Linked DNA regions of Lepisosteus oculatus. The protein of the gene in region 3 binds, or shares a complex with, the protein of the main gene of each other region. Links are inferred from orthologs where the notes say so. Each region holds a gene or a part of one and is shown on either strand. Other genes may lie near its edges.

Region 1 (7,542 bases), on a different chromosome or scaffold from region 3:
CCCGGAGTCTCCTCAGTTCAAGGGCCCCCCCCCCGCCCGCGGGCCTCACTTGGCCGCGGCGTGGCCGTGCTGCTGCTGCTCCGCCAGGGCCTGCTGCAGCCGCGTGCGCTTGCGGGAGTAGTGCTGCCAGTGCAGGAGCTGCTGCTCGTCGATGAACTTGGCGCACTGAGCGTTCACCAGCTCCTTGCGGAAGTGCTCGTACTGCAGCAGCTCCAGCATGTGCAGGCTCTGGGGGTACCTGGGCAGGGAGCGGGAGACAGGGGCACGGTCACACACAGGGGCACTAAGGCAGCTTTTAACGAGCGTTCAGGAGGAGGGACAGCCCTCAGATCCCCCTTCATCTCTGCTGCCCTAACTTGTATTCCTTGTGTCCCGAAAACCCCAGCAAGCCCATTACTTCCCTGCTTCTCTTTTAGCATCCCTCCTCCACCCCATCTCCACCTCTGCAGCTGCCCTTCGGTTCGTTTCCCCCCTGACTTCCATCACCCACAGGCAGGGGGCTGGGCCTCGGCCCGCCAGACTGCGCCTCTCTTTGTGCCTGACTTTTTCACATCCCCATGCAGAATGTATTTTCGGTTTGAATGTCATTATTCCTTAAGAATTAAACATGTTCACAAGACAGTGGTTTAACAATCAGATCACAATATTTTAAAGCCATAACTTACAGACTTAGAATCTAGCCATACTTTTGCTTTCACAAGCCCATACTTAATAATGATCTCCTCAAAATGAAAACACAATGAACTCTAACCGAAGACTACAGGAAGGGCCTGGGGTTTATACCTGTGGGTAACACCAGAACTCTGAAGGAAGGATCTACAATATCCCACTGCTCTTCCCACAGTATTGCACTGGAATTTCTCATGTCTTCCAGGCTGTTAGAATACTTTAAAGTGTTAACTCTGCCTTACTAAGGGGCAGATTCTGAGCCAGATCTGTAACTACACTGAGGATAATCTGATCAACCGATCTGAGAGGGAGGGGCACAGACTGACAAGTACAGAATACAGACAGCCTGGTCATGCAGAGACTGCGGTCCCAGCATGCGTAGGCTGCCAAGGAACAAGTAATAGGTTTATTCCATGCTGAATTGAGAAGAAAGAAAACACAACGTTTCGGCTGTGGAGCCTTCTTCGGGTGTCAGCCAAGAAGGCTCCACAGCCGAAACGTTGTGTTTTCTTTCTTCCCTTTTCAGCATGGAATAAACCTATTACTTGTTCCTTTGTAATAGAGTTGAGAGACCAAACAGCCTCTGAACACAGCCAGACACAGACACTCACTTCAGGTACTTGGCGTATTCCGGGTCCTTCCAGTACAGCAGGTACTTCAGGTAGTTCACAAAGGGCTTCTCTCGCAGGTAGCCTCTCTGAGCCAGGACTGGGACCACAAGACAGAGCCGTCAGATCACACTGCCTTCTCGCGCGGTTCCTATTTTCTTTTACTGTCAATGACTCAAATGCACTAAAGGAAAAGTTATCTATAAAACCCCTCTTGGGCTAGAGACAAGCGTTAATGTTGAGAGGTGAATCAGACCCGCTGTGCAGCCGAGAGCTCGGGTGGAACAGAACCCAGACCTCCATCTCGGAACCCAGGTCCGTGGTCATATTTTAATTAATAACGTACCGCAAGTTTAAATTGAGCACTAATTAAAAACAGTTACTCCATTGCAGCAAATGAGAGACAGGCAGAAGAGCAGAAGCTGCCGTGGTTTATTTTTCAGACCCCCAGGGCTCAGTCCAGGTTTAAGATGATATTTAAGCCAAATAACCCTGAAGCTCCCAGCTGTCACCCCACTGGAGCTCAGCAGGTGTGAGCCTGGCCAGTACCTGGATGGGAGACCTCCTGGGAAAAACTAAGGTTGCTGCTGGACGAGGTGTTCGTGGGGCCAGCAGGGGGCGCTCACCCTGCGGTCTGTGTGAGTCCTAATGCCCCAGTATAGCGACAGGGACACTATACTGTAAACAGGCGCCGTCCTTCGGATGAGACGTAAAACCAAGGTCCTGACTCCCTGTGGTCATTAAAAATCCCAGAAATCCCTTTTCTTTAAAAATTTAAAATCTTTTCTTTAAAATTTCTGCAATTTCCCAGAAATTCCCAGCCTCACACTTGCTTAGCTTCAGTGGGCTGCCAGTTGTGAGTTGCAGGGTGATATGGCTGCTGACAGATAGAGTACAATAAAGTATCTATCTAAAATGTGTAGGGGTGTCCTGGTCAAATTTCAGCCTGGTCTTTACTAGTCATGGCCTCCAAATAACCCCCATCTCTGAACTGGCTTCATCACTCTGCTCTCCTCCCCACTGAGAGCTGGTGTGTGGGGAGAGGACTGGTGCACCATCCAGGTGGGGCTGCACGCTGGTGGTGGTGGAGGGGATCCCCATTGCCTGTAATTGGTTTGAGTGGAGTGTCCAGAAAAGTGCTATATAAGCGTAAGGAATTATTATTATTATTAAGAGGGTGAAAGAGCGACTCACAGTTCAGGTAGTTGGGGTTAGCGAGACACTGCACGAACTCCAGCTCCGACTGGAATCGGTTTCTCGCCTGCTCCTCTGTCGGCGAAGAAGAGACAGCATTACAAACACGCCAAGGGACAGGAACCACGGATTCAATACTGAAGCACTCCCCATCCACCTCAACGCGCTGACGTACGCCCTTTTAGTATATCAGACATAAATTGCATACAAATAAAGACGAGATGTGCACTCCACTTTCACAACAACAGATAAATCAATACCCCCGACCGCACTACTTTCAGCTGGCGCAAGTAAACAGACCCGTACGAACCTGTCTCCATCGCCGTCGCCATAGCAGTCAGCGGACTCTCGTGTTCAATGAGAAAGCGCTACTCCTCAGAGATACAAACCCAGCCTTTAGCAGTGTAACCTGTAAAACAAATCTTTGTAGTCGAGAGGGAATAGTTTTAATACTCAAATGAACTACTTCGTTTAGCGTAACACAGCACATCCGCCATCTTGGCCGGAACTCGTGTATGACGTCTAACAACGCGACGCCCTCCCGGCAGTGTGTTTTTCCTACCCCAGTTCCTGTAGCAACACGCCCCATTCCTTTCCCCTCAGTTGCATAGACAATCTTGGGTGTGATTTCGTAGGACCCGTCTCCCAATTAGCAGAACTTGGGAAGCAGCGTGGCTTTGGAGTTCCTTTAACACTGAGTGGTTTGTTTTGCTGGAGAGTGGGTGTGTCCAGCACAACCTCTATATCTGAACCTGGGTGGGAGAATTCAGTTCCATCAGACTCCGAGATCACTGCACTCTCTTGCTGTGCTTTAAGATACAAATAAAATGAATCTTTAAGATGTAGAAATCAACAGGCACATCCAGCTGTTCGGTGTTCTTTTGTTACAATTTATTTGATATTTGAAATTAAAAATAAATTGTAACATTCGTAAGCAATAGTCTGCGCCGGCAATGCACAAGAGTATTAAAGAGGAGACCGTTCGTCCTATCTACTGTTAGTTGTAAATCGATCTAAGGATCTCATCTCATCCAGGTGTTTCTCGAAAAAACAAAACCGTATCGTCTTCAACTCCGTGGTTGTGTAGCTTGTTCCCGACTCCAACACCTTTTTGTGCAAAGGAGGGCCTCCTGCTCTCGGGTTTAGAATGCACTTCTAAGCTGTACAGTACAAGATGCACTCTGCACACGCAGTGCACGTTCATGCAGACTGAAGAATCCAGCTTTATAACACAAATTGCACAAATCACAATCATTTATAGGTTAATCACTAAAAAGCCACCTAAAACTGAGCACGTTATCCATTAATACTTGATTTTGCCTTTGTTGGGATTTTTGTACATAAGAAAATCACCATTTGATGTCGTACAGTTGTTATGTTACCCAGTTGCAGCTCTACGTGTGTGATAGCTCAGTATAGTGAGTGGAGTTCGGCAGTTTTTTATTTATTCATGCATAAACAATAAGAAAAATTACAATAAAAGCAAGCGTACATATAACAATTCAAGACAAAAACATCGTCAGGGGTAGTTCGTCCGCACTCACAACAGGTGGCGTGGATCAGTTCCGTTCAGTTTATTTGGTCATCTGCACGAGTGCAATGTTTGCATGTATGCTCCAATGCAGAGACATTAAGGAAACGCCGAAAGATACACATAACAGTAGAAGCACCAGCCACAAGGTTAAATAACACACAAGGTAAATACTAGTCAGTACACGCAGTGTGAAAACACACACCAGTGTGAGTCAGTGGTAGGGGCAGAGTTTAGTAATCTCATAGTTTACGGGAAGAAACTGTCTCTGGGTCTGGAAGTTAGTGCATTCATGCTTTATAACCCTTACCAGAGGAAAGTGGGGGAGTATCCTTAACGATACTTCCAGTCTTCCTGAGAGTTGGTCTCTTTTATTTCCAAACTTTTATTGATCATAAAATAATACAAAGAGACAACTGAACAAAACAAAACACACACACAAAAAAACACTGCGATCCGTAGGTAATTACAAAACTGAACACAATAAATTAAAACTTTACATAATCGAATCGGCGTTTTTTGCCTTGTTATTTGTAAGGTTGCTAATGGATTTTAAGTAATGTTGCAGTTCAATCTTAGAATCATTAAAGTAGGGAACAGAACTGGACTATTGTGTTTTGCGTATCTACCCAGTATAACTAACAGATTATTTATAAGAAAATGTTCCTTTTTCCAGAGTACATCTGGCAAATCATGCCATAATACCAAACTCCTTAAATTAAACATTCACGGTGAAATTCTTAAAGATGAAGTTTTGCAAGTATATCCAAAACACCTTTGTATATATGCGGATGACAAATAAATGTGTCAGAATGTCTTTTCCAGCCTTTTCCAACCGAACACACGTCATAAATTATCTTGATCATGTATGACCTTAGAAAGTGTTACAAGATAAAGCCTATGAACAAGATTAAATGTAATTTTTTAAACCTTGTTTGTAAGGCAATATGCGTCAGGAGTTGTCCAGTCTAATTTCCGGTTTATATTTTCATTCCAGAAGGATGTTCGGGAGGATTGAGGAAGTTTGGCACAGATTCCTTATCAGGACACCAGCCTCGCTCTCCGTCACCTGTCCATCCTCGGGCTGTATCCAATCACAGACGACCGTCTGACTAAACCCCACCCATTTCTCCTCCCTCACGCCAATACGGAGCGACGCTGCAGGAATTCGGGTAGAGAACAAGAAACGCGCCCTGGAGTTGTGCCGTAATGACAAGCCTGTCATGGCTGCGCCCGTGTGACGCAAGTTTCCCTTACGGCAAGAGATTGATCTGAATCACAACAGATTTCGCCTCCTGCGAAAATTCTGACCGTCTTCAGCGGTAGTAACAGCGGACCCTGTTTTTGTCAATAATCTCAAACATGTGACTACCAAATCAGTAGAAAACCAACATAAAAGCAAAAAACAATATCTATGTAATATGTTTTACATTTCTTTGCAAGTTTCGATGTGATTTCTGATGCTTTATTTAAGAAGAGGATGGTGTTTTTTGTATATGGGAAACTTGATTTTAACTGCAATTAAATTCTGAACAAGAGAAAATGACCGTTCAAACCAACCTGTCGGGTCGTCTGGGTACTAGACTCCGGCTTGTCTGCGTCGCCTTTTCATTCCAAGCGATATTATCATTGTTCAAAAGTACTTTAGACAAAATTAGATGGGTAGAATAGGCCACCCCCGCCAGTAATCTTTTTTTCTGGGCTAAAGAAACCGCAATTAGGGGAAGTTTGAACTCAACCCTAATTTGAACGTGTTTATCCGTGCTGTCCGCCAGGGGGAGCACTGCACTCGCGCGAAGGCTGGATTGAGTGGGGCGAGAATTAGGAAGTCTTCCAGGATATAAAACTATCCCACAGACCGTCTACTGCAATACGTCATAGCCTTCTATCATTGTTTAATATGAGGAGTCAGCCCTTTAATGTGAAGTTATCTAATCCGTGTCTCCCCCAGGTGATCCAGCCAGCTTCTTAAATGGTATATAGATCCTGTCGATTTTCAATTATGTAATTAAAGAGCTTTACTGCAGTAAAATTGTTTGTCGGGGCGGATTGGAGGTGCTGTGTGACTAATGATGCGCTGTGCTGGGGGGCCTTGTAGTTCAGCCCCGAAGCCAATGGGTTCGCCGCGGAGAAGGTGCCGTAGGTGCCACTGTCCACACGCCACTCGGGTGATTGCATGACAACATGTCTGCTGTGCGCGGGCTAGTGAAGACGACGCACGAGGAGTATGCAGCACGGTTGTTTAATTGGGTGCAAAAACCACACGCTAATTACACCCTCGCCTTTGTTTTGCTTCAAAAGGAATTTCCGATATATTCCCTCTCTCTCTCCCCTCCCCTATTTCCCCTCCCTGTGGCTCCAGTATTGTGAACTGTATCGCTGGGGGGTGACTGTAAATGTAAAAAATGGGAGATCCCACCTGCTCTGTCTGGTCGGGGATCTGCTGACGGCTCGAGAACAGACGGGGTTCATTCTCGTGGGGATCCCTGTGCCTGGGAAGGGTTCGGTGTCTCTGGGAAAGACGCGGCCCGGAACGGTCTCTCCGCGTTTCCACCTCTGTAATTTTCCCCGCAAAGTGCTGAAATCAACAGGAGGTGTGTGTGTGGGTCTGACGTGCAGGAGAGAAAGTGCTGCTGTAGGAGCGAACAGGCTGATACCTGCCGCCACCTCCCCCGCCGCAGCCCTCCGGACTGGGGGGCTGGAGATGGGACAGAGGGACAGCTGTGTGATTGAGCACCCAAGAACTCTAAAACCGGATGGGAACAAGATGTGACGGGAGAATGCTTGTATTATTCATATTTGCATTTTTTTCGTACCGTTATTCATTTCTTTCGCTGATGCCTTTATCCAAAGCATCTTACACGTGGACCCATGTATTCAGTTGGCTGCATCCGCAGGGAGAGAGCCACTGAGCGCTCTGTCCTGGGCCCGTTCCGCCTGTGCAAGGACAGACCCCCCGCCTCTTCCTCAGAGTCTCTCCTGTCAGCTCTGCCCGGGGTTGTTTTTCTCATACAAAGTTCTTTTGTCATTTATTTGCAACTGCTCTTGGGGTGGTGGGGGGTCATCGTCAGACGGGCCTCATTTCTGGTTTTAATGAGGTGAGGAGAGACGAACGGACCGCTGCCCTGCTGCCCGCTCCCCCGCCAGCTCAGAACCCGCTCTTCCTGGGCGTGCACGGGGGGGGGGCAGACTTCACACGGCATTCCTTTTCCTTTCTCCGTCTGTCTCCGTCTGCGTTTCTTGAGCCAGAACAGCGCAACACAACCCAGGGGACACATGCAGTGGAAACGGCGCATTCAAAACTGAGCACGGGAGGCATCGCTTTACACAAAGGGTGGTAGGGGTGTGGAACGAGCTCCTCAGCCATGATGCTGAATTTGATATCCTGTGGGTTTTTTTTAAAGAAATGCCTGAATGAGATGCTCAGATCAATTAGCTACTAACAACCAAATGGGCAGGGTTGAATGGCTCCTTTGCTTTGTGACTATTTTCAGTTATGTTTAATCGGTCCTGTAAGCTCCCTGGGAACACCCTCTCTTC
Region 2 (7,951 bases), on a different chromosome or scaffold from region 3:
TTATCTAGCTGGACACCCATCCCCCGCCTGCTCTCTGTTCAAGGTTCAGTTTGAGACTCACAGACCTAAACCAGCATCTCTTTGGAGCTGGAATTTATTTTGCAACAAAGGGCAACAGGGCAGGGAGACAGACTCTACAGGTCCCCAACTTACAGGGCACAGAGTCATCCCTGTTAGGCTGGGGCTATTCCTCATTTCTCCCCACTGATACACATCGTCTGCCAAAAACAGAAAACTGGAGAAAAAGACATTAAGGCATGTGGAGCAGCGGACTGTTAAGTCACAGTTCATCTCTTTCATCACAGGGCACACATTCACAAACATACATGCACAAACTCACGCCAGGGTCATTTTTTTTACAGAAGCCAATTAACCTACCGGTATGTCTTTGGACCGTTGGAGGAAATTGCAGCCCCCAGAGGGGAGAACATACCCTCCCACACCCCCCATGCAGACTGCACCCCAGGTCTGGAATTGAGCCCCGGGCCCCAGCACTTGCAAGGCAGTGATGCTCACCACTGCCCCACCAGGCTGCCCTCAACACGAGTGCTTGAAGAAATGAATTGAGCTGACTCATTTGCATGCTTTCCATGACATGTGCAGTTTTGTTTAACAGATCTAAGCAGCTCTTTACTCAAAACAAAACTACCCCAAGTTTAGACCCTTACAGAGAATAACACTATCACAGTTTTGATTGCTGGCACTGATCAAAGGGAACTACAGCATGCCAGTCATCAATATTACAAGTTTGTTATTAGCTCTGCCTTTTAGTCAGAGTTCTTAGGACTTTTTGCACCCTTTCCCGGCTGCTTCGAGATGGAGAAAGGGCTGAAAGCATAATTTGAAAAACTGAAAAAAAACACAATCTAGATGCAACCACTGATGGCCTGCTGCCATCTTGAGCGAGCACACGACACTTTTACACGAGAAAGAGGACTGACACTGCAACACTTGGTGAGCAGAACGCTGGTCTTGCCGTTTTGCATTTTCCAGCTCTGTGCAGCACACTGCGGCCTCCGAAATTACTGAAGCGCTGTGCTGGTGCTTTCACTTACAGCCAAACAAGAAAAGTGAAAGACTGTTGCTCTGGCCTACCTCAGGAAACAGACAGCTGCTGTGGGCAAATGAGGAAGAAATTGCGCCCAGGATTACAAATCCACACTTTGCCCCCAGCCCCATACAGGGCCTTCCGAAACCTTGCGCTCCTGTGCGCAGAACGCTCTGAAGGCCCTTTTGAGCCTTCAGAAGCTACGAAAGTAGACAACACACCCTAGATTTACACATGATCAGCTCGGTATACACACTCATTTCACGTCAGTAAACTGATATACATCCGTTTGGTCTACTCTACATCCTCTTGAGAACTTAAGACACGCCAATAATATCATCAGCAGCTCTCCTGTAGGAAGGAGCCCTTTTCCCAAATATTATGAGGACCTGGCAGCCCTGATGGCAGCTTCCCCTTGGAGTTGACGGGTGGCCGGAGAGTTAGGGTCAATCTGCCCTGCATTGTGGGGCAGAGCACTGGACCTGGCAGGCCGGAGAAGGACTCAAGAGAATGGGGGTCGGATCCAACCCGAGCCTCTCACCCCCTTCTTCACCACAAATTCCAACCTGAGTTCTCGGGTCACCCGTGACCCTCACCCCCCAGAAGCGTGGCGCGGGACTCACCGTGACACCGGGCTGGCGCTGGAGGAGCGGCGGTTGCCGTAGGGGCTGACGGAAGAGCGCCTCCTGCTGGGGTAGGGGCTGCTGTCCCGCTCGTAGCTGGAGGAGCGGTGGCGGCTGCCGTAGGGGCTGTCGGAGCGCTGCCGGCTGCGGCGCCCCGAGTCCCGGTAGGGGCTGGGGCTCTGCGGCGGGGGGGCCCGCCGCCGGTGGTGGTGGTGATGGTGGTGGTAGGCGTCCTCTCCGCCGTCCGGGCCGTACCCACCGCCGGGGGGGCTGTCGTTGGCCCCCCGCTTGGGGCTGGGGGACTGCGGGGCGGCCGCCTGCTTCCTCCCGCCGCCGGCGCCGCCCCGGGACGAGGGCTTGCCCTTGGGGCTGGCCTTGTAGCTCTTGGAGGACTTGCGGCGGTCCTTCTGGGACGAGCCGCGGGACTCCCCCCGCTCCCCGCGGCGCTGTAGCTTCTCCTTGCGGGACTTGCCCGACCTGCCGCCGCCGCCGCCGCCGCCCCCGTCCTTGCTCCGCGAGGAAGAGGAGGAGGAGGCCGTGCTGGTCCCGGTCCCCAGCAGGGCCTGGGCCGCGGAGGAGGGCAGCGACGACGCCAGCTTGGCCCCCACCTCCCCCTCCAGCAGACCCAGCCTGGTGGAGCCGGGGCTGAAGGGGGCCGAGGCGGAGGCAGATGTCTTCTCCTTCCCGCTCTTCCCCGACGTCCCTTTCTCTCTGTCCCGGCTGCTCTTCTTCTTCGAGCTCCCCCCTCCTCCTCCTCCTCCACCCCCCCCACCACCCGAGTCCTTCACTTTGTGAGGGTCCTTGGACTTCTTGCGGGGGTGCCGGTGCTTGTGGCCCCGGCTCTCCCCGGACACCCCGCCGCTGCCCCCGCCCCCTTTACCGTAGTCCGAGCCGCCGTCCAGGCGCTCCCCGCCTCGCCGGTCCACCGCCGACCTCGCCGCCGGCGGGTCCGAGAAGGTGTCGGAGTCGGAGCTGATGTCGTCATACTCCACCAGCGGCTTGATGGCGCTCACGGCTGGAGGCGCCGCAGCCGCCGCCGCCGGGCCCAGGGTGGCGAACGCAGCGGCCGGGCCCTGGCCCTGGCCCAGCGCCGAGGAGGAGGAGGAGGAGGACTCGCGGCCGTGCTTGGAGGACTTGTGCCGCCGGCGCTTGGAGGAGGAGGAGGAGGAGGAAGACGACGCGATGAGCTTCCCGTCCTTCCCCGTCACGCAGCCCGCCTGGGCGCTGGAGTGCGGCGGGAGCAGGTGCTGGAAGGCCCCGCTGTTGCTGCCGGGCGGCAGTGAGACGCTGGCGCTGGGATCCGGCTTCCTCCTGGTCGACCCATGTTGTCTGTCTGAACCGGGCATCCCTCACGCTAGCAGCGGCGCTTCTCCCAAATGCGGGCCTCTGCAGCCGAGGCGATGCATTAAAGGGCGAATAGTACCTAAAAAAGCACCAGGAAAAAAAAAAAGATTCAATAAAAACAAAAATTCAGATCGTGTTCTCCGTCCCGAACGCTTAATCCGAGTTCATTCCGGCTAGGTCAGCGCGGCTTGGGTCCGGCGTTTTGGTTTTCCTTCAAAGGAAAGATTTTTTTTTTTTTACGAAGAAACAAAACGAAAAATAGACATAATAGGCGGATGAGCGTGTAGTTTCATAGCTGATTAAATCAAGCAGAGGTTTGGTTTAAATGAAGTCGTTACAATCGTGCTGTCTCTCTCCTCGTTTCTCAGTTTTACTTGTGCTGTTATTTTTTCTTTTGTAAAAACAAAAAGAAAAAAAACAACACCTCTTTTGGTTATCCCCCTCGCCCTGTAGCAGGCTTCAGGGAAGGTGCCTTGATTCCTTCAGTTTACGGTCTTGGAGTTCGGAAACAGGCATAATCCATGATGAATGGGCGATATTGTTTCACAAAACTGAAAATGAAAACTTGAACCGGTTGGTACTGTTTACATGTTCGGTTTTATATAGACAATCTTTTAATCTCTTTATATTTGATATTGGTCAGAAATGACAGTATATTCGTGTGCAGCAGATGTTCTAGTTTATTTTGAACGGCCTTGAGAGTCTAACAGGCCTGTATTGAGGGCGATGTTTGCGGATTTAGAACACCCACTGCCCCTGTTGCTAAGACGAGAGGACAGACGCCATTGTGGCTCCTTCTAGCAGGTTGAGCTTCTGTCCTCGCTCTCTCTCCCCCAAGCCGAAGCCGGAAGTCTCACTTGCTGTCAATCTTCGTCGTCACCGGGCAACAGCCTCTCCAGAGCGACGCTCCGCCCTTATCCTCTCACGGGCTGCAGTGCCACCAATTAACCTCTAGGTGGCGCGTCACGAAGAGACCGGAGAAACTCCACAGGTTGTGAAAAGTTCAAATGCACTGAGGTGCAAGTTTTTAAACGGGAACTTGTTCGCCCTTATAACAAACCATGCACAGATGTAACCAGCTCACGTGTTAATCTTTAAACGGACAGCAGAACCTCCTTGTGCTCGAAATCGTTTTATAAATTACGTAGGCTATCAATGGGTATACGTAACGTCTGCCACAACACAAAACCACGTTACTAGTAAAACACTATTTGCTTTTAGACGTCCGTAACTGATGGAACGCACAGCACAAATGTTTATTACATATAAATAATCAATTACGCAATCCATAAACACTTTGTGCTTTTAAATTAAGAAGGTACCAGAGAGAGGCGTTTTTTTAAATACGCAAACGCCGATAAAAGTCAGCTGAACTTAGATTGTACGGTACTTTCATTACATATTTATTACGCAATATTATATATATTGATGCATTATCCGTTGTGCTCTTGTCACTTAATTCTTCCTGTTCTATAGGTAAATCATTACTCTTTGAACAAAACTCTCTGCAGAACTTCTTGGCGCTTGTAACGCTCAGAAGACCAAGCACGTAACGTTTCCTAGTACGTTGTATTCTACACAACCAACACACCTGAAGAACAAATGAAAAGTTGAAACTACTTCGGACCGGAGACAGGTTTCAGCCACGTTTCTCGAGGTTGTTGGGGGATGCCCGGCCGGATCCCCAGTAAGAAACCAGACTGCATCGGATAGCACACGCACGGTATATCTTTGGATCTGCAGCTCCGCCTTTATTATTTTAGAACTAACAGCAGCAGCATCTGCAATGGCTTTCAACACAGATTAGATTTTATTTATAAAATCTGCCACGTCCTTATCGTCGCCGGGGGCTTCTTGAAGAAAAGTCCTTCAAAGCAGAAAAACGATTGATCCGCAGTTACAGCACCTCCACCCTCGTTTGCTCGGTCCGAGTCGCCTCCTGATGACGCCACAACCCCGCGCCCCCCCGCCCCCGGCAGTCTTGTCGGAAACTCTACCCTGCGCGACGGAAGATTTTTATATTGAAAATGGCGGCGGTTTCTGGGGTTGTTATATCGGGTTGTAGCCCAGCGAGAGAACTCGGGCCCGGGGCACCGACCGTTGGGCCCCCTACGATCGGGGATCGTCCCAGACCTGAGGAGGGGACAGGTAATGACGTGCTCACGGGGGAAATCGGGGGTCGACAGCAGATCGGCAGAGCTACAGTATCGCGTTCTCGCTGATCTGTTACTGTATTGCGTTGAGATCTTGAGAATATTATTTAGAAATTATGAATGGAGCGCCAGGGGTTGGACCGGAGCCAGTGAAAATCACCTTTATATACCTTTTCGCCTTTTTTCGTTTTCAAAGAAAAGAGTCATTGAATTATTGAAATTGCAAAAAAATAAATAAGACGATCTCCTCCCCCTTTATGAGTTTTTGATTTCATTTTGATGTCAGGCGTGTTTGCTTTCCATTTGGATCTACGCATATCTTGGCTGATCGCTCCTCTGAGACATACCCTTAATCATAACAGTGTCACATCGTGCTGAGGTGGTCCTGAAACCCTACCTGAAAGCTCTTTGATCTGCACTTCCATAACGCTGTAAATCGCCCTGCATGCGGAGCAGGGAGTTTTGGGGTCCGTGCCAGTGGGTTGCCGCGGCTTTTACAGCTGTATGTAGTATACCTGTTGTTCTTCCTCTGAGATAAGTTTGTCAGTTTTGTGTAGCCTTGTGTACCAAATGCCTAGCGGTGTGTGTTGCCCTGTTTCCTGTGGGAGTGCTCTGTGTGTGTGTTGCCCTGTTTCCTGTGGGAGTGCTCTGTGTGTGTGTTGCCCTTTTCCCTGTGGGAGTGCTCTGTGTGTGCGTGTGTTGCCTTTTCCCTGTGAGAGTGCTCTGTGTGTGCGTGTGTTGCCCTGTTCCCTGGGAGAGTGCTCTGTGTGTTGCCCTGTTCCCTGGGAGAGTGCTCTGTGTGTGTGTGCGCGTGTGTTGCCTTTTCCCTGTGGGAGTGCTCTGTGTGTGTGTTGCCCTGTTCCCTGTGGGAGTGCTCTGTGTGTGTGTTGCCCTGTTCCCTGTGAGAGTTCTCTGTGTGTGTGTTGCCCTGTTCCCTGTGAGAGTGCTCTGTGTTTGTGTTGCCCTGTTCCCTGTGAGAGTGCTCTGTCTGTGTGTTGCTCTGTTCCCTGTGAGAGTGCTCTGTGTGTGTGTTGCCCTGTTCCCTGTGAGAGTGCTCTGTGTGTGTGTTGCTCTGTTCCCTGTGAGAGTGCTCTTTCTGTGTGTTGCCCTGTTCCCTGTGAGAGTGCTCTGTGTGTGTGTGTGTGTGTGTGTGTGTGTGTGTGTGTGTGTTGCCCTGTTCCCTATGAGAGTGCTCTGTGTGTGTGTGTTGCCCTGTTCCCTATGAGAGTGCTCTGTGTGTGTGTGTTGCCCTGTTCCCTATGAGAGTGCTCTGTGTGTCTTCCTAACCCTGTGCCCTCTACGCCCTTCAGAGGCAGAGAAGCAGAGCAGAGTCGGTGCCCTACTGGAGAGGCTTCATGCCAAACACTGCGCCTCCCGGCCATGGCAGGAGACCAGCAAGGTGGTGCGGCAGGCTATGGTGAGTGAGGGAGAGGAGGGTGGAGCTCATAAAGGCACCAGGACATGCGGGGGGGAGTGGGGGCAGAGAGAGGGCACCGGAGCAGACCTGCCCCCTTCCTGGGAGGAAACCATGATTTCAAGTCAATCTCCAAAGAAGAGAAAGGCCAGGCTAGATGTGTGTCTTTCCCCCAGAGCTCACTGCTCAATGTGGACTGTCGCATCAATCATGTACTGAAGATTGGATCAAATATTCTCTCTGTTCATGAATTTAGATCTAAAGGGATTTATTCAGGATAGACAAACTCTTGACAACATTAGACATTCTCTTCACATTACAAAACACCAGTGCTCAAAAGATAAGAGCAATTTTGGTTAGTCTGGACGAGTATTAGTATAATTATATTATATATATTACAGTTTGAACAGTTATTACTGTTATTAGATTGTGGTTAGCCAGTTTCTTTTTGAGGCCCTCCTGGAGAAATATGGTTGTATATCTGGATATAAACTAGACGTTGAAAAAGCAAAAGTTGTATCTTAGAATTCAGATCAAATAAGAGAAAATTGTGAGAGCAGGAGCAGGGAGAGAGAAGAGGGATGGGGCAGGATGGGGAGAGCAGTGTGGGGGAGATAGAGGGCTCAGGACCCGCTGCTCTTGGGGGGGTCAGCCCGAAATGTTGGGAGGACTTGGTACAGAAGGGCGAAGGTCATGCTAGTGCAGTCAGGGGGTGTGTATTACAGGGGTATTGTGTGCATTTTAATAGGCCTTCAATCTCTCTTTCTCCCGCCACCCAGGAGAAGCGCAATGTGTTGAATGCTGGGGGACACCAGCTCCTGCTCACCTGCCTGGAGACGCTGCAGAGAGCCCTGAAAGGTGAGGGGATTGGGGTGTGGGGGAGGGCTGATTGTGTGGAGCTGATCAGGGCAGCGGTACAAGTTACCACACAGCTGGCATTGCACAGAACAGTGCCCAGAAGCGGGCCCTGGCAGGGCGTGGTGGGTCAAGCAGAGTGCACCTGTGTGAATTCCTTCATCTGCCATCTCAGAATTCCTTCTTTCCAAGCTTATGATAGTTAAAGAGTTTTGAAAAAGATGTTTATATCTCTGGAATTCTACAGAGCTGTACAGGAGGTATTCAGACTCCAAGGAAATGCAGTCCGTTAGTCACACCACACGCTGTGAAGGAGGGGACAGCCCAGCACTGGCAGACTCCCTTTACCTTCTATAGCTCTGCATCTCTTCCCAGTGAGGTCCAGGTAAAATCTGGGTGCCTGGACTGGAAAAGAACCGCTCGATGTTAGCCTTCTCCGGGCGAGAGTGGGTTTGCTATCGGGGAAGGAGGAATGGGCAGAGGTGACGAACTGATCCAGGGGTCGGGGTCGGCT
Region 3 (7,169 bases):
ACTGTAAAAACAGCCCTCTTCAAAACTGGAGATTTCATAAATTTAAGATTTGTATGGGACTTTGAACCAATTTTAATTATTAATTAACTTGCCAGACTGTCAAGCAATTAAAAATCTGCACTGCTGGGACTCTGTCCCCAGCTCCAGTCGGAAGGGAAGCCCCAAACCCAAGTTCTCCAGAGTACCCAGCCTTACCTGGCACCCAGTTGAGGGGAGCACATACTGCATTGCTGGCACTGATCCTGTGAGCATATTTAATAATTTCTTCGGAGGAGATGCTTCCTGAAACAAAGACATTCACCATTAAAGCACATTCTACGTCAGTATGTACCATCCGCACACTGGCTACTTGAAGGGATCGGTTTGGAAATTCTGACCCAGAACGGTTGTTCCTACCAGTGCTTTACCTACAGGACCATGTAAAGTATCTTCAGCAAAAAAAAAAAAGAAACATTTTTGAAAAGCAGCTCTTTTACGTGCATCATGCTCATGATTTTTTCTATGCTTGATTAACTTGAGAAATTATTAATGAAACTTACTGAAAGACCTATCAATATTTTGAAATAAAAATAATCTTGACCTTTTCTTGCTTTTTCTATGGACTTCAGTTTCTCCTTTGCTTGGTATACAGCAGTTGCCTAAAAAGAAAGAATAAATGAATAAATCTTACTATATTATTTTAAACACATGACTGGAAAAACTTGAATACTTTGACTACACCTAGTTGACTACAACTACATAGTCCGTGTTATTATATACTAGAAACTCCCTGCAGAAGTTTTTGGAAACTTTATCCAAAATGGCATTGTTTCTACAACACGCTCATTCAGGGCACCTCAGGTCAATTCCAGATCACCCAGATAACATCCTATACTGTATCTCCTGCAAAAAAGGCCCAGCTATCTACGTTGGGGAAACCGGAAGGAGACTAGGAGACCGCTTCAGATAACATGTTAGGGCTGTGAAGATGAAAGATTTCTCCAAGCCCATAGTTTTTTTTATTATTTCGCCTCAGACGGCCATGATCACACTGATCTCTCGGTCTCTTTTCTCAAAGAAGGGTTTCTCAACTCCCACAGCAGAAAGACTACAGAAACGAAACTCATCCTGAAACTAGGTTCACACCTTCCCCTTCTCTCAATGACTGACTTATTCTTGTGTAATCTTCTCTATTCTCAGGCAGCTCTTCACCCCTCTCCGCTTTGCACTTCCTGAGTGGCCTCTCTGCCTCCTCCTCCCCTCTCCGAGCTTTTGTTCTCCTGTGCCATTTAATCTTTGCTGTCTGCCCTGTCTTTCTCACACCTGAAGAAGGCTCCACAGCCAAAACGTTGTTTCCTTTCTTTTTTCTTTTCTTTTCAGCAGGGATTAAAACCCATTACCTGTTCCTTTGTTTTTACATTCTCACTTTTCTTCACAACAAAACCTCAACATTTCACCAAGTGCACTGTTGTCAAGATTAGTGAGGAAAGAAAAATGCAGCCCCAGCGCTACTATTAGAAATATCTGTAATCTAAATAAACTGTTTTTGACTATGAAGAAGCAGTTGACTAGATACATATTGCAAGAAAACCAGTTCAAAGCCAAAATTCCTAGCAGAGGGGTCCGATAGCAATACAAATGTCTCTGTTTTAGTCACCCTGCTTACCAGTATGTGCTCGGCTTCTTTCAGCTGTTTCTGCAGCTGCTGGATATCGCTGTCTCTCTTCTCCACCTCTTTCTCCAGGAGCTGCATCTCCAGGTGGACCTGACCTTGCTCCTGAGCCACTCTCATCAGCTCCTGGAACTCAGTGTCCCTCTGCACCAGCAGTTCCAGGATCTGCACAAGAGCACGCCCTCTTAAACACGCTCCACTGCCGAGCCGGGATTTCCACTGGGAGACGAACAGTTCTTTCTCAGAAGCGGCTTGACTAAAGTCGTCTCGTTACCCAGAAACAAGGTGGGCCCCCCAAGAGGGTCTATGTCCACACATGGAGCATGTATATTTTAAATCCCTGTTCCTAAACCTTTTTGTATGTCAGGGACCAGCTCCCTAAGGTCCTCCTCGCTCGAAGAAAGCCTAGGCTAAAATTAAAATAATGGAAAACAAGTACTGGATGCATCCATTTTGGTACAACTGCACCTCTGTCTGTAAGGTCTCGGCAGGGACCAGTCAGCATCGTTAAACAAGCATACAGATGTGTTTTCTCTCTTCTCTTTTCAGCATGGAATAAACCTATGAATATGCGTGTAACCACCCACTGGAATAATTTGACAGATATTCAATGTAGTGTAAATGTGTTTTTTAATAAGTTAGCCCGGCTCCACTGAGACAGGCTCTGTGATTGGTAGGGATCCGAGTATTTGTTCCTCCTAAAATGTAAGCTGTTTACGCAGGCACGCTTTTTGTTTTATTACAACAATTCGTTTGAAAGTGAATGATGTGCTGTTGAAACAAAATAAGATCACCTTCCAAAGGAGTTTACTCGAGACGAAAACGTAGTTATACCTGAGTCTCTTCTCCAGGCTGGGGCAGTTTCTGATTCCTCGACAACGCCAGCATCTCAATCAGTTCCCTGCAGTTCATATATACAGTTAACATAAGCAGATCGTAACAACTATTGCACATAACCGAGGCAACTTAACAAAGAAATACAGATACTATACAGTAAATGTAAATATCACTTTTTATAAGAATTTCTTCTTGTTGTTTTTTTTCCACAAAACGTGACAAATAAATATAACATTTCATAACCTTTAACACGCAAAGTGTCTAGTTTGTCAAACTGCATTGAAGCTCAGGTAAAATCAGTTGCTCTGTGATAGCCTACACAGGCCAACATCCGAGTCCCCGAAATCCTTTCAGACCTTTTCTGTTCCACTTTACTGTCCACAGGGTAAAGTCTTTCTGGCGTAAATACTGTATTTCTCAGCGAGCGTACCTGGATAACACCTCCAAATCGTCTAAAACAGACAATAACCGATCTTTAGTTGATCTATCGGAAGCCGCCATGATAGAGTAACTTTCATAGTGCGCATGTTCACACAGACAACAAATCTAGAGAGACCGGACAAGACAGAAAAGTCGTCACTAAAAATCAGTGGTGACACCTAGTGGAGAGATGTCTTTATAACCAGGGAACAACAAGGGGTCGATCATCGTCCGGGGTTAAATACGATAAACCTGATTGTTTTTCATTTTTTATGTGTTGTTGTTTGTTTGTTTGTTTGTTTGTTTGTTTGTTTGTTTGTTTTTTAAAAGCTGGGTCTAGGGTTTGTTTATGGCTGGAAATCCTCTGTATGTATTACCCGCATTTACCTTATTTGTACACATACAGTAAATACGTGTCTCTAGAGGCAATAATGAAATACATATTAATATACAAGAATACTAGTGCAGGAGGGGGTTAATTTACAATAGATTGCAACGTCCCCCACAAACCACACGTAACTAGGACTCGTTTCACTGTGTTCAATGTGATTAACCTGTTCCTGACAAGGCTTTTTTATAATAAGAAATATAAACTATGGCTCAATACATAGGGATTGGCAATAGCTGAAGTATAGTGAGCACTACTTGGGCATTTGGAAATAACCAAGCAAGGGAGATGAGTGACCGGCACAGAAACACTTCTGAATATGTCTTTTAGGACAGAGCTCCCTCTAGCCAATGAGCAATCCAGATTCAGAATCTTTCTTAATGAAATAAAAAGAATCAGAGAATCAGAGAATTTGGCATTTAAGAGCACAAAACAGGCCCTTTATTCACAACAACAGATGTAGACTACTGCTTGCACACACCAATCTCACAAGAATTTTGGGGGGGTTTCATTGGATCATTGACTATAAGACCAAGCTTCAAAGAAAACAGCTCATCAGTGAGGAGCTCTCTTTCTGCCACAGTAATTTGTTGAAAACCAATTCATTAGATGGATTGGATTTGGATTTATCAGATATTGAAGATGTCTGTGGGGATGCTGGACACTTGCATTAAGTCCCATTGTAGTCTCCTCTGTTCATGATTAAACAGGCTGTCAGTGCATGACAGTCCCTGAAGCCCTGGGATGTATCTGACTGCTCCTGGCTGCAGTGATGCCAGAGCAGCACAACCTTAATATAATGTGCTGAGCAGAATTATACACAATATTCCATTTAAGGCTTACTAGTGCATCATGCAAATTCAACACAACACATCTTGTTTTAATTTTAATATCATAAATATTTATTCTAACATTTTGCTTACATGTTTAATTACTTTATCACAGAAGATATAAATGAGGTGTCAGCGTAAACTCGTAAGTCTTTTTAATATGCCGTGTCTTCTTTCTCTGTGTTTCCCATTTTGTATTCTTAGCTTAGGTATTTTGCCAGAAGAAACTCTGCGCTTGCCAACATTAAACATCATCTGCCAGGTGTTTGTCTGGTCTTGTATTTTATCTCTTTCTTTTTTAGGTGCTTGTACAGGATTTGCTCATCTTCCTAATTTGATATCATCTAACAAACCTTACTACAAACCGTTTTACTAGCTACACCACAATGTAGGTCATTGAGATACATATAGGATAGGAAGAGTAATTATCCTAGTGCAGATCCCTGTGGTACTCCACTAGTTTCACAATTACACATGAGTGCAGAATACACCAGAAGGAAAATCTCAGAGCCATAGTTGACGAATGCCAGTGCTATTTAATCTCTCACCTTTGTCCTGTCTGTATGCTTGTAATAATAATAATAATTGCTTACACTTATATAGTGCTTTTTCTGGACACTCCACTCAAAGTGCTTTACAGGTAATGGGGACTCCCCTCCACCACCGCCGCCAATGTGCATCCCCACCTGGATGATGCGACGGCAGCCATAGTGCGCCAGAACGCTCACCACACATCAGCTCTCAGTGGGGAGGAGAGCAGAGTAATGAAGCCAGTTCAGAGAGGGGGATTATTAGGAGGCTATGATTGGGAAGGGCCAATGGGAAATTTGGCCAGGACGCCGGGGTTACACCCCTACTCTTTTCAAGAAACACCCTGGGATTTTTAATGACCACAGGAAGTCAGGACCTTGGTTTTACATCTCATCCGAAGGATGGCGCCTGTTTACTGTATAGTGTCCCAGTCACTATACTGGGGCATTAGGACCCACATGGACCGCAGAGTGAGCGCCCCCTGCTGGCCCCACTAACACCTCTTCCAGCAGCAACCTTAATTTCTCCCAGGAGTCTCCCATCCAGGTACTGGCCAGGCTCACACCTGCTGAGCTTCAGTAGGCTGCCAGTTGTGAGTTGTAGGGTGATATGCCATTCTTGTAAGTATGGATTATAAATATTTACCTTTTTAGAAAGCTCTCATTCAAATTAGATCAATCAGACGCAGTGATAAAAGATAAATCATTCTTGGAAGAAATTGGTTGTCACTGGTGTACAAGATGCAAGACGTGGAGTACAGGGCAGACCCGAGTCAAGGAAGAACGCCATTCCTAACTTCAGGGAGAGCAAGACTCGATCTGAATTGTCTCCTTGAAAACCAGACGTATCTACGGTGTTTCTTCCAATTGATTTTTTTACTGTTTCGCTCTAGAACTAAACCAGTTCTTCATTAATCGGGGTTGCTGTTAATTTGTAAACCTTTGAGAGGTGATTAAAAGCTGTTCTGAAACGTATGTTGAATTACTAAAAACAAAGGTCTTCCCATATATAGGACGAAACACATACATATTTTTAGTTTACTAACGTCTTTATCCAAGGCAAGGTAAAGTTTTCACAGAGTAGTAACTGTTTTGTATTTAAGTAGCCAAGGGAATTGCATTGGGGAAAAAAATAACGTTGATAGTACAAAGTCTAACTTAATTCCAAGCAGTTTTCACGTCTTCATAAATGCACTTGATTCAAAACTCGAGTTTTTATTCCCCCGGACTTCATGATGGTGATTTTTTTTTAAAATTGATAACACTTTTGATTAGAGAAGGGGGTGGGTTTTAGTTTCTGTCGTTATGGTTGCTAACTCGTATCGTCGCTGCTGGAAAGGCTGAATCGATTCACAGATCATCCGACTCCAGAACGGCTTCGTGATCCTGGAGGTTATCTTCATTCCCGCAGAGAGAGAGAGATTTTATTATTGTATTATTTTTATTTGCTTTGGCAACACTGATTGTACCTATTGGTCATGCTAATAAAGCACCTTGAATTGAAATTGAATTGAATTGAGAGAGAGAGAGATAACTCTCTCTCTAGAATCATCCTCCGTGTGCAGAGAAAAACTCCTAACAACGGGTGCAGGGCCGAATTAGGCCAGTACCCACTATTGATAAACATACAGAAAAGAATATTAAAGTATTGGCTACACCTAAAAAACAGTGACCAAAATTCCTACCACCACAAAGCCCTGCTGAGCCAAGAGCTGAGCCCAAAACAGAGCCCCCTGAGCCAGCTGGTCCTGAGGCTCACCGACCTGAGCCACACCAACACTAACCAGCCTCAGGACAGCACTGCTAGAGCACCACAACCCAGACTCAACCACATCACAGCACAGATCAAACAGCAATATCTCACACACTGGGACACACACACACAAACACAACATAAACTGGAATGCTACAGAACCTTAAACAGACAATACACACTAGCTGAATATTTGACCAAAATAAAAAATAACAAACAGAAACAGACCCTGACGAAGTACAGGCTCAGTGACCACAACCTGGCCATAGAAACTGGGCGACACAGGCAGACCTGGCTGCCCAGAGAGGACAGGCTGTGCTCCCACTGCCAGCAGGGAGAAATAGAGACAGAGGTGCACTTCCTACTGCACTGTGACAGATACTCTGGGATTAGAGAAACATTCTTCCCGAAATTCAGAAATCTAATCCCAGAGTTCCCACACCTGCCAAAACCACAACAGGTCCCAATCCTACTGGGAGAGGGAGGAGGGAACTCAGTTGATCTGGCAGCCCAGTATGTGATCTCCTGTCACAGCCTGAGGAACAGTGAGTCCGTCTCCCAATAATGCTCCAGCCGCCTACAGTATATGTCGATATTATATAATATGTCTTTGTTGTAAATGTCTGTAACATGTCTGTAGATTTTATTTTACTTCTATTTTTTGTTTTGTTCTATGTTAATTTTATTATTTTTATTTGCTTTGGCAACACTGATTGTACCTATCGGTCATGCTAATAAAGCACCTTGAATTGAATTGAAT
Region 4 (7,799 bases), on a different chromosome or scaffold from region 3:
GAGAGAGAGGGGTGTCAGCCTCTCCTGACACCTGAAACATCCCGGCCCTCATCCTGCAGCATCAGATCCCCTCAGACTGGTACCCTCTGGCGCTCAATGCGCTTGGCGGACCAGTCTCTTGGAAAGCTCAGACACCTGCCTCCTCCGGCATGCCATACAAGAGACGGATATCTGACCGCACAGGGAGGGCACACAGTATAATGGACAGCAGCCATATCACCCTGCAGCTTCCAGCTGGCAGCCCCCTGGAGCCCAGCAGTAGGGAGCCTGGTCAGTACCTGGAGGGGAGACTCCTGGGAAAGCTAAGGCTGCTGCTGGAAGAGGTGTTAGTGGGGCCAGCAGGGGGCGCTCACCCTGCAGTCTGTGTGGGTCCTCATGCCCCAGTATAGTGACGGGGACGCTAGATTGTAAACAGGCGCTGTCCTTCGGGTGAGATGTAAAACCGAGGTCCTGACTCTCTGTGGTCATTAAATGTCCCAGGGTGTTTCTTGAAAAGAGTAGGGGTGTTACCCAGTGTCCTGGCCAAATTTCCCCCTGGCCTTTACCCATCATGGCCTCCTAATAATCCCCATCTCTGAACTGGCTTCATCACTCTGCTCTCCCCCCCACTGAGAGCTGGTGTGTGGTGAGCAGACTGGTGGTGGTGGAGGGGATCCTCATTATCTATAAAGCGCTTTGAACCAAGTGTCCATAACAGCGCTGTTTAAGTGTCAGGAATCATTATTATCCAAAACTGGACAGATTGCTCCTGCCAGTCAGCAGATTTAATTGCAGCGCTTGTTCTTTCTCACACTGAAGTTGTCAAGATGTCTCTCCAGGGCTGGGAAGACGTTGTAATGCGGTTTCAAGGAAGCACGACGGGAAAGAAACATTTCCAAAATCAGGGGCTCTTCAGCCAGCAGGGGACGAGGCGTCCAGAACAGCACCGTGGGGTTTTCCACTGTGTAACCTCAATTTAAAAGGCAAAACTAGTGGATTTTACCCATGACAATAGTAATAAATAGGACATAATTACTCATCTGTAATACGCCTCTCTTCGCCTACATGTACTGAAATACTCCAGTTTTCTGCCATGACTGAGGGAGGATGCTGTGCACATGGTGACGTCCGGAGAGTCTCTCGGCCTGAACCGAGAGCAGAGAGACAGAGGAAAGGACAGGCAAGACAGCAAGAGTGATGTAACCCCAGCCACGTCTTACCAGGCAACTCAGGCAGGAAATTGCTGAGCTTCTCCTTCAACTTCTTCCCACAGAACTTGTTGTAGGCGTGCTCCAGGTTATAATGGGTGATCAGGTTAGTGTTCCCAGTCAGTTCATTCCCCACTGAAAGAAGGGCAAAAGATAATAGCTGTATTAGAAACTACAGGAACACTGCCTGACTGCACACTACAGTACATGAACACTGCACTGAGAGAGAGGGGTTAATACAGTCCAGACACACTGACTGGACACTACAGGACATTAACACTGCACTGAGAGAGAGGGGTTAATACAGTCCAGACACACTGACTGGACACTACAGTACATTAACACTGCACTGAGAGAGAGGGGTTAATACAGTCCAGACACACTGACTGGACACTACAGGACATTAACACTGCACTGAGAGAGAGGGGTTAATACAGTCCAGACCCACTGACTGGACACTACAGGACATTAACACTGCACTGAGAGAGAGGGGTTAATACAGTCCAGACCCACTGACTGGACACTACAGGACATTAACACTGCACTGAGAGAGAGGGGTTAATACAGTCCAGACCCACTGACTGGACACTACAGGACATTAACACTGCACTGAGAGAGATGGGTTAATACAGTACAGACACACTGACTGGACACTACAGGACATTAACACTGCACTGAGAGAGAGGGGTTAATACAGTCCAGACACACTGACTGGACACTACAGGACATGAACACTGCACTGAGAGAGAGGGGTTAATACAGTCCAGACACACTGACTGGACACTACAGGACATTAACACTGCACTGAGAGAGAGGGGTTAATACAGTCCAGACACACTGACTGGACACTACAGGACATGAACACTGCACTGAGAGAGAGGGGTTAATACAGTCCAGACACACTGACTGGACACTACAGGACATTAACACTGCACTGAGAGAGAGGGGTCAATACAGTCCAGACACACTGACTGGACACTACAGGACATTAACACTGCACTGAGAGAGAGGGGTTAATACAGTCCAGACACACTGACTGGACACTCCAGGACATTAACACTGCACTGAGAGAGAGGGGTTAATACAGTCCAGACACACTGACTGGACACTCCAGTACATTAACACTGCACTGAGAGAGAGGGGTTAATACAGTGCAGACACACTGACTGAACACTATAGTACATTAACAGTGCACTGAGAGAGGGATTAATACACTAACTTACAGGACAATAGCACACAAAGTTACAACTGAAACGGAACAGCAACGAGACGTATTTAGTTTCAAGCACAGTTCGGACACTATATTCATCCTCTCAAGCTCTGCACTGCTGTGCCCTGTACAATACATCTCTGAATACTTTTACCGACTTAAAAAAGAAACTATTGAATGATACTGAATATTTTACTTCCTCGTCTATAACGCAAAGTCTTATCGAAGATGACTATGTGGGCGAGCGCAGTCTGTTTACCTGGAAGTTCCCGAAGTAAATAAAAAGGCTCATTCATCGCTGCGGGCTTCCGAAGAGGAGGCCCCTCATCCCCGAGCTGTGGTGGCATCTGTACCGCCATGGACACCTGATTCTGGGGTGGCGGCCCCGGCTGTTTACCCGGCCCGTAGCCCAGCGTCGAGGAGCCGGGGGGACCTTGAGAGTCGCTTTGTCCAAACAAAGAGAAAATTTCCGTCATCGATGCAGAAAAATGTTAATTTTAAGAAATAAAAAAAATAAATAAATCTTGGCAATTTTAACACAAATACTACCAAACCACCGCACCGTGCTTCGCGTTGTTTTGCTCTGAATCCGTGAGCTTCCGTACGACAAAGCAAACTGGGCGCTACCGTCTTTCTTCATATATAGGAGACTCAAAATGAAGCAGTGAACCGCTGTTGCATGATTCAGATCAAATTTGCACACCAGACGCAATTACAATGGTGCAGACGTTTAGTGACGCATTCTCGTTTTTATTTAAATACTGTATAATTAATTAGCATTTAGGAATCACCGGTCTAAATTCAGTGTCACATCAGTGAGCAGGCGAATATTATTAATGGCGTTGTTCTTCCACTTAAGTACCTGTATTCTTCACTATTATCCATTATGGAGAAATGTAATATTCTTAAACAGCTGAGAGTAGTCCATCTGCCCCGTCTATCCTGTTTGGCACTAGGTGGACAACTGATCCAAGGATCTCATCCAGCTGTTTCTTAACTCCCACCCCCCTTTGTGTAAAGAAGAAGCTCCCGTCCTGATTGGAGGATCTCCTCCAGTGCTGTCACTGCACTGGCTTCAACAACAACGCGGCTGGGGTGCTTGCTCCACACTCCCACCACCCTTTGTGTAAAGGAGCGTCTCCTCTCCTAACTGGAGGATTACATCCAGCTGTGTCTTGCAAGACGTTACTGTATCGGCTTCAACAGCTAGACTGTTGTTTGACACTCTCACCACTTTGTGGAAAGGGTCACAGGTGTCACACAAACAGAATTGATTTGTGAAGGTTTTGTCCTACTGCCCACCCACCCATCTCCTGTCCTGCTGGTCACTCAGCTGTTCCTTCTCCTCGTTCTCCTCCATTGCTGCCCGAACCGCAGTGCTCCCTCAGGGACTCAGCCACTTTCCCTTTCTCTGTCTCAGCACAGAGCTGCGGTCATGTCTGAATCGCCTTTTGTTTTTTACAGTAATTTCTTTGGTATTTTTGTGTATAACACTTCTTATTTGGTATTTTGACAGTAGGTGTCAAACCATGTATTTTGACTATGTGTCAAAACACCAGCACCTGCGGCTCCCAGCTGGCAGCCCCCTGGAGCCCCCTGGAGCTCAGCAGGTGTGAGCCTGGTCAGTACCTGGAGGGGAGACTCCTGGGAAACCTAAGGTTGCTGCTGGAAGAGGTGTTAGTGGGGCCAGCAGGGGGCGCTCACCCTGCAGTCTGTGTGGGTTCTAATGCCCCAGTATAATGGCGGGGTCACTACACTGTAAAAAGGCGGTGTCCTTCAGGTCCTGACTCTCTGTGGTCATCACAAAAACTCAAAAAGAGTAGGGGTGTTACCCCGGTGTCCTGGCCAGATTTCCCCTTGGCCTTTATCAGTCATGGCCTCCTTATAATCCCCATCTCTGAACTGGCTTCATCACTCTGCTCTCCTCCACACTGAGAGCTGGTGTGTGTGAGCAGACTGGAGCATCATCTAGGTGGGGCTGCACACTGGTGCTGGTAGGGATCCTCATTACCCGTAAAGAGCTCTGAGTGGAGTGTCCAGAAAAGTGCTATATAATAACAATAATCATACATTATTATTATAATGCGCATTATTATATAGCGCTTTTCTGGACACTAATAATACTCGTATATAAGTGTATAGAATTGTTTATTTAGGTTTAAGCTTTTGTGTTCATTTGACTGTTTATGTTAACAGCCGACACCAAATTTAGAGGCGTACAGTTTCTCATCTTTACGGTACAATAAAAGGCTAATTTTACGTATCAATAAAGCTCATTCAAAAACTTCCCTTTTACAAGGGCCTTACAGTGTATGTCACAATGCCCGATCAACCGAAAAAGTCCTATCCCTTTGCAAAGAAGAGTGACAGCTGTAATATCCAATAATATCCAAGATGTCTCCACAGCTAACCAATCCGATTACGCAAGAGGCGTGGCTTTATGTCTGTTGTTTGTCCGCAGTGACCTCTCTTCACTTCCCCTTTAAATCTTCCCTGCGACCGCAGACTGTTATTATTTGTCGGCGGACAGACCTCTGTGTGCATGTTCGTCTGCACCAGCAATCCGCCGCATATATATAGTGGCACTCTTGTTTGAGAGTTATAAAAATGGCGTTACTTACTCCCCTCCTGGCGTTTCTGTATCACCTTCCCCGGGTGTACAAGTGGCTGCTCAAGCCGTATTATGTGGCGTCAGTGTTTTTGTCGGTGATTTTCTTGCTGGTGCGAAAGACGCCGGGGATCTGTGAGCACTTGTCTACCACCAGAGAGGACGGCAACTCCTGCGATTTCGACTGGGTGAGTCCAGGGTTGTGATTTTAGAGCAGGCCGGTACCTCCGCGACTGACCGGCTGGTAGAGAGAGACACTCGCCAGTGAGCTCAGGTGTTGGTCATAGGGCAAGTGGGGAGACAGAGGGCGAGGGGACTGTTAGGACAGGGAGAGTGTTGGAGAGGACGAGGAGAACCAGGGCTGGGGACCCTGAACTAACTGGACCGGGTCTGTCCAGGGCCAGGGGTGGGAACCCTGTACCAACTGGACCGGGTCTCTCCAGGCCCAGTGCTCGGGACCCCTGTACTAACTGGACAGGATCTCTCCAGGCCCAGTGCTCGGGACCCCTGGACTAACTGGACAGGATCTCTCCAGGACCAGTGCTCGGGACCCCTGTACTAACTGGACAGGATCTCTCCAGGACCAGTGCTCGGGACCCCTGTACTAACTGGACAGGATCTCTCCAGGCCCAGTGCTCGGGACCCCTGGACTAACTGGACAGGATCTCTCCAGGACCAGTGCTCGGGACCCCTGTACTAACTGGACAGGATCTCTCAAGGCCCAGTGCTTGGGACCCCTGGACTAACTGGACAGGATCTCTCAAGGCCCAGTGCTCGGGACCCCTGGACTAACTGGACAGGATCTCTCAAGGCCCAGTGCTCGGGACCCCTGGACTAACTGGACAGGATCTCTCAAGGCCCAGGGCTGGAGACCCCTGTACTGTTTTGCACACAGCACTGGGGCAGCAGGCAGCTGGTGTGTCCGTTGGCCCTGATGTGTTTACTGTACACACAGGGGGAGAGGGGGCTGAGGGCGGCCACTGGCCTGGGGTGATGTAGGGTGAGGAGCTGCGGGAGGGTGCAGGTGGGGGTGGGAGGGAGTGTGGGGAGCAGTGGGAGAATGTGAGGTGCCGTGGGTGGGTGTGGGAGAGTGTGGGGAGCAGTGGGAGAATGTGAGGTGCCGTGGGTGAGTGTGGGGTGCTGTGGGAGAGTGTGCCGTGTGCCGTACCCCTCTGAGCAGTCTGTTGGGTGTTGGTTGTGTTGCGATTGGTAGTGGTAGCAATGGCTGCTGTGGGCTGGTGCGTGTCAGTGTGCTGTCCCTGTCGCCCTGACGTGCTGTGTGCTCTACCCCCAGAGGGAAGTGGAGATCCTCATGTTCCTCAGTGCCATCGTGATGATGAAGAACCGGAGAGCCAGTAAGACACTCCAGTCGCACAGGGGCGCTCGTCTCGGCTCCGGGCGCGTCCGGCTTTCTAGCAGCCTGAGCGCTCAGGCGCGCAGTGGGTCTGATTCTTTCACAAACTGCTGAAGTGTAACATGTGGAGCCTGGCTCTGAGGTGTTTGTAATGAACTGTCCCTTTAATGAAGTGTATTGTTTAAAAGCTGATTATTCAGCTTAAGGAACATCCTATCTGGTTGGTAGGAAAACCAGAAGGCATCAGGCCCTCAAGGAAGTGAGTCTGACACCCCTGTCCTGATGCATGCAAACCCCAAATAATGTACTGATGGCCAGTGGGCAACCGGTAGGTGGCGCCCTTCCCTCTAGACCAGAGTTTTCAAGCCAAGCCTCAGAATGGGGAACAGGAGCACTATGCTGTAGGACATGCTGTCATTCAGATGTTGACCCCAGTGTCCTGACTGAAAAGAGTAGGGGTGTTACCCCGGTGTCCTGACTGCTGGTCATTACAGACCCAGGACACTGTCAGTGAGAGTAGGGGCATTAACCCCAATGTCCTGACTACTGGTCTTTATACACATTTAGTGCAGAGGATGAGAAGTAAAACGGAGGTTCTGACTCTCTGTGGTCATTAAAAACCGCGGGGTGTTTCTTGAAAAGAGTAGGGGTGTTACCCCGGCGTCCTGGCCAGATTTTCCCCTGGCCCTTACTAGTCATGGCCTCCTAATAATTGTTTTGAATGCCTGTGTTCTTACATTTGGGCTGTGCACACACTTGAAATACACATTCATTCAGTGTCAGCAGGGGCATACACGTGGTATATAGTGTATAATGTGTGTAGGTATAATATGCTATACACTTGCAGTTAAACCTGTTAACTGTGTTTAAAACCCTTTCTCTTCTCCAGTCACTGTGGAGCAGCACGTGGGGAACATCTTCCTGTTCAGTAAGGTGGCCAACGTCATCCTGTTCTTCAGACTGGACATCAGGATGGGCTTGCTGTACCTCACTTTGTGCATAGGTCAGTCAGATAGCTACTGTAGGTACTGCCGGTTCTAATACTCTAGAGCGTCCCCTCACTCTGTACAGGCAGGGTGGGGGAACTGCAGTTCAATAATCCTTATTAAACTGGAGCAAGTCAGTGGACCTGTACGCTGTGAATAATCACTCCAGGAATTATTACTAAGTAATATATATGGCTTATGTTTTTTATGCTAAGAGACTTCTATTTGCCGCCATTTTACTGCTGTGTATCTTACTGGAGCAGTTCAGGTGAAGCACCTGGCTCAACAGCGTCTCACTTGGGATTCGAACCCTCAACCTTCCACTTCCGAGTTGATTATGCTGCTCACAGCGCCTACTATTATAGCATATACAGTATTGTGGTTGTTGGCATTAATCCAGCAAAGATGTTGATGATGGGAGACCTACCAACACTAACTCTGCTACATGTTGTTC

Evidence for each region. The genes of interacting proteins can lie anywhere in the genome.
Region 1: the proteins of med4 (region 3) and med31 are in contact, whole or in part, in a cryo-EM structure (PDB 8TRH), measured with the Homo sapiens proteins. The link is inferred for Lepisosteus oculatus from reciprocal best matches to the Homo sapiens genes MED4 and MED31. Residues at the interface, in NP_054885.1 of Homo sapiens: Glu147, Tyr151, Arg154, Ile155, Asn159, Ala160, Val161, Cys162, Ala163, Pro164, Trp167, Arg173, Arg174, Pro175, Tyr176, Pro177, Met182, Leu186; in NP_057144.1 of Homo sapiens: Gln19, Glu23, Gln26, Cys27, Ala29, Asn30, Pro31, Ala64, Lys65, Tyr66, Leu67, Lys68, Tyr69, Pro70, Gln71, Asp98, Ile102, Trp105, Gln106, Tyr108, Ser109.
Region 2: med4 (region 3) and med1 share a complex: the UniProt entries of both Homo sapiens proteins name them as parts of the mediator complex. The link is inferred for Lepisosteus oculatus from reciprocal best matches to the Homo sapiens genes MED4 and MED1.
Region 4: med4 (region 3) and med19b share a complex: the UniProt entries of both Homo sapiens proteins name them as parts of the mediator complex. The link is inferred for Lepisosteus oculatus from reciprocal best matches to the Homo sapiens genes MED4 and MED19.

The regions. Positions count from the first base shown.
Region 1 is NC_090721.1:9,979,395-9,986,936, forward strand, and holds the start of med31 (mediator of RNA polymerase II transcription subunit 31), read right to left. Parts: upstream 3,005-7,542; 5' UTR 2,804-3,004; coding exon 2,782-2,803; intron 2,547-2,781; coding exon 2,472-2,546; intron 1,378-2,471; coding exon 1,281-1,377; intron 239-1,280; coding exon 46-238; 3' UTR 1-45. UniProt on the Homo sapiens protein: Component of the Mediator complex, a coactivator involved in the regulated transcription of nearly all RNA polymerase II-dependent genes.
Region 2 is NC_090723.1:5,850,694-5,858,644, forward strand, and holds the start of med1 (mediator of RNA polymerase II transcription subunit 1), read left to right. Parts: upstream 1-4,947; 5' UTR 4,948-5,042; coding exon 5,043-5,163; intron 5,164-6,478; coding exon 6,479-6,585; intron 6,586-7,361; coding exon 7,362-7,440; intron 7,441-7,951. Other genes in the region: cdk12 (cyclin-dependent kinase 12), read right to left, coding at 1,672-3,017. UniProt on the Homo sapiens protein: Component of the Mediator complex, a coactivator involved in the regulated transcription of nearly all RNA polymerase II-dependent genes.
Region 3 is NC_090710.1:30,648,497-30,655,665, reverse strand, and holds the start of med4 (mediator of RNA polymerase II transcription subunit 4), read right to left. Parts: upstream 3,015-7,169; 5' UTR 2,990-3,014; coding exon 2,919-2,989; intron 2,553-2,918; coding exon 2,486-2,552; intron 1,817-2,485; coding exon 1,646-1,816; intron 639-1,645; coding exon 581-638; intron 283-580; coding exon 196-282; intron 1-195. UniProt on the Homo sapiens protein: Component of the Mediator complex, a coactivator involved in the regulated transcription of nearly all RNA polymerase II-dependent genes.
Region 4 is NC_090701.1:41,770,528-41,778,326, forward strand, and holds the start of med19b (mediator of RNA polymerase II transcription subunit 19-B), read right to left. Parts: upstream 3,005-7,799; 5' UTR 2,874-3,004; coding exon 2,657-2,873; intron 1,323-2,656; coding exon 1,200-1,322; intron 1-1,199. Other genes in the region: tmx2b (thioredoxin-related transmembrane protein 2-B), read left to right, coding at 5,005-5,193, 6,300-6,360, 7,249-7,362. UniProt on the Homo sapiens protein: Component of the Mediator complex, a coactivator involved in the regulated transcription of nearly all RNA polymerase II-dependent genes.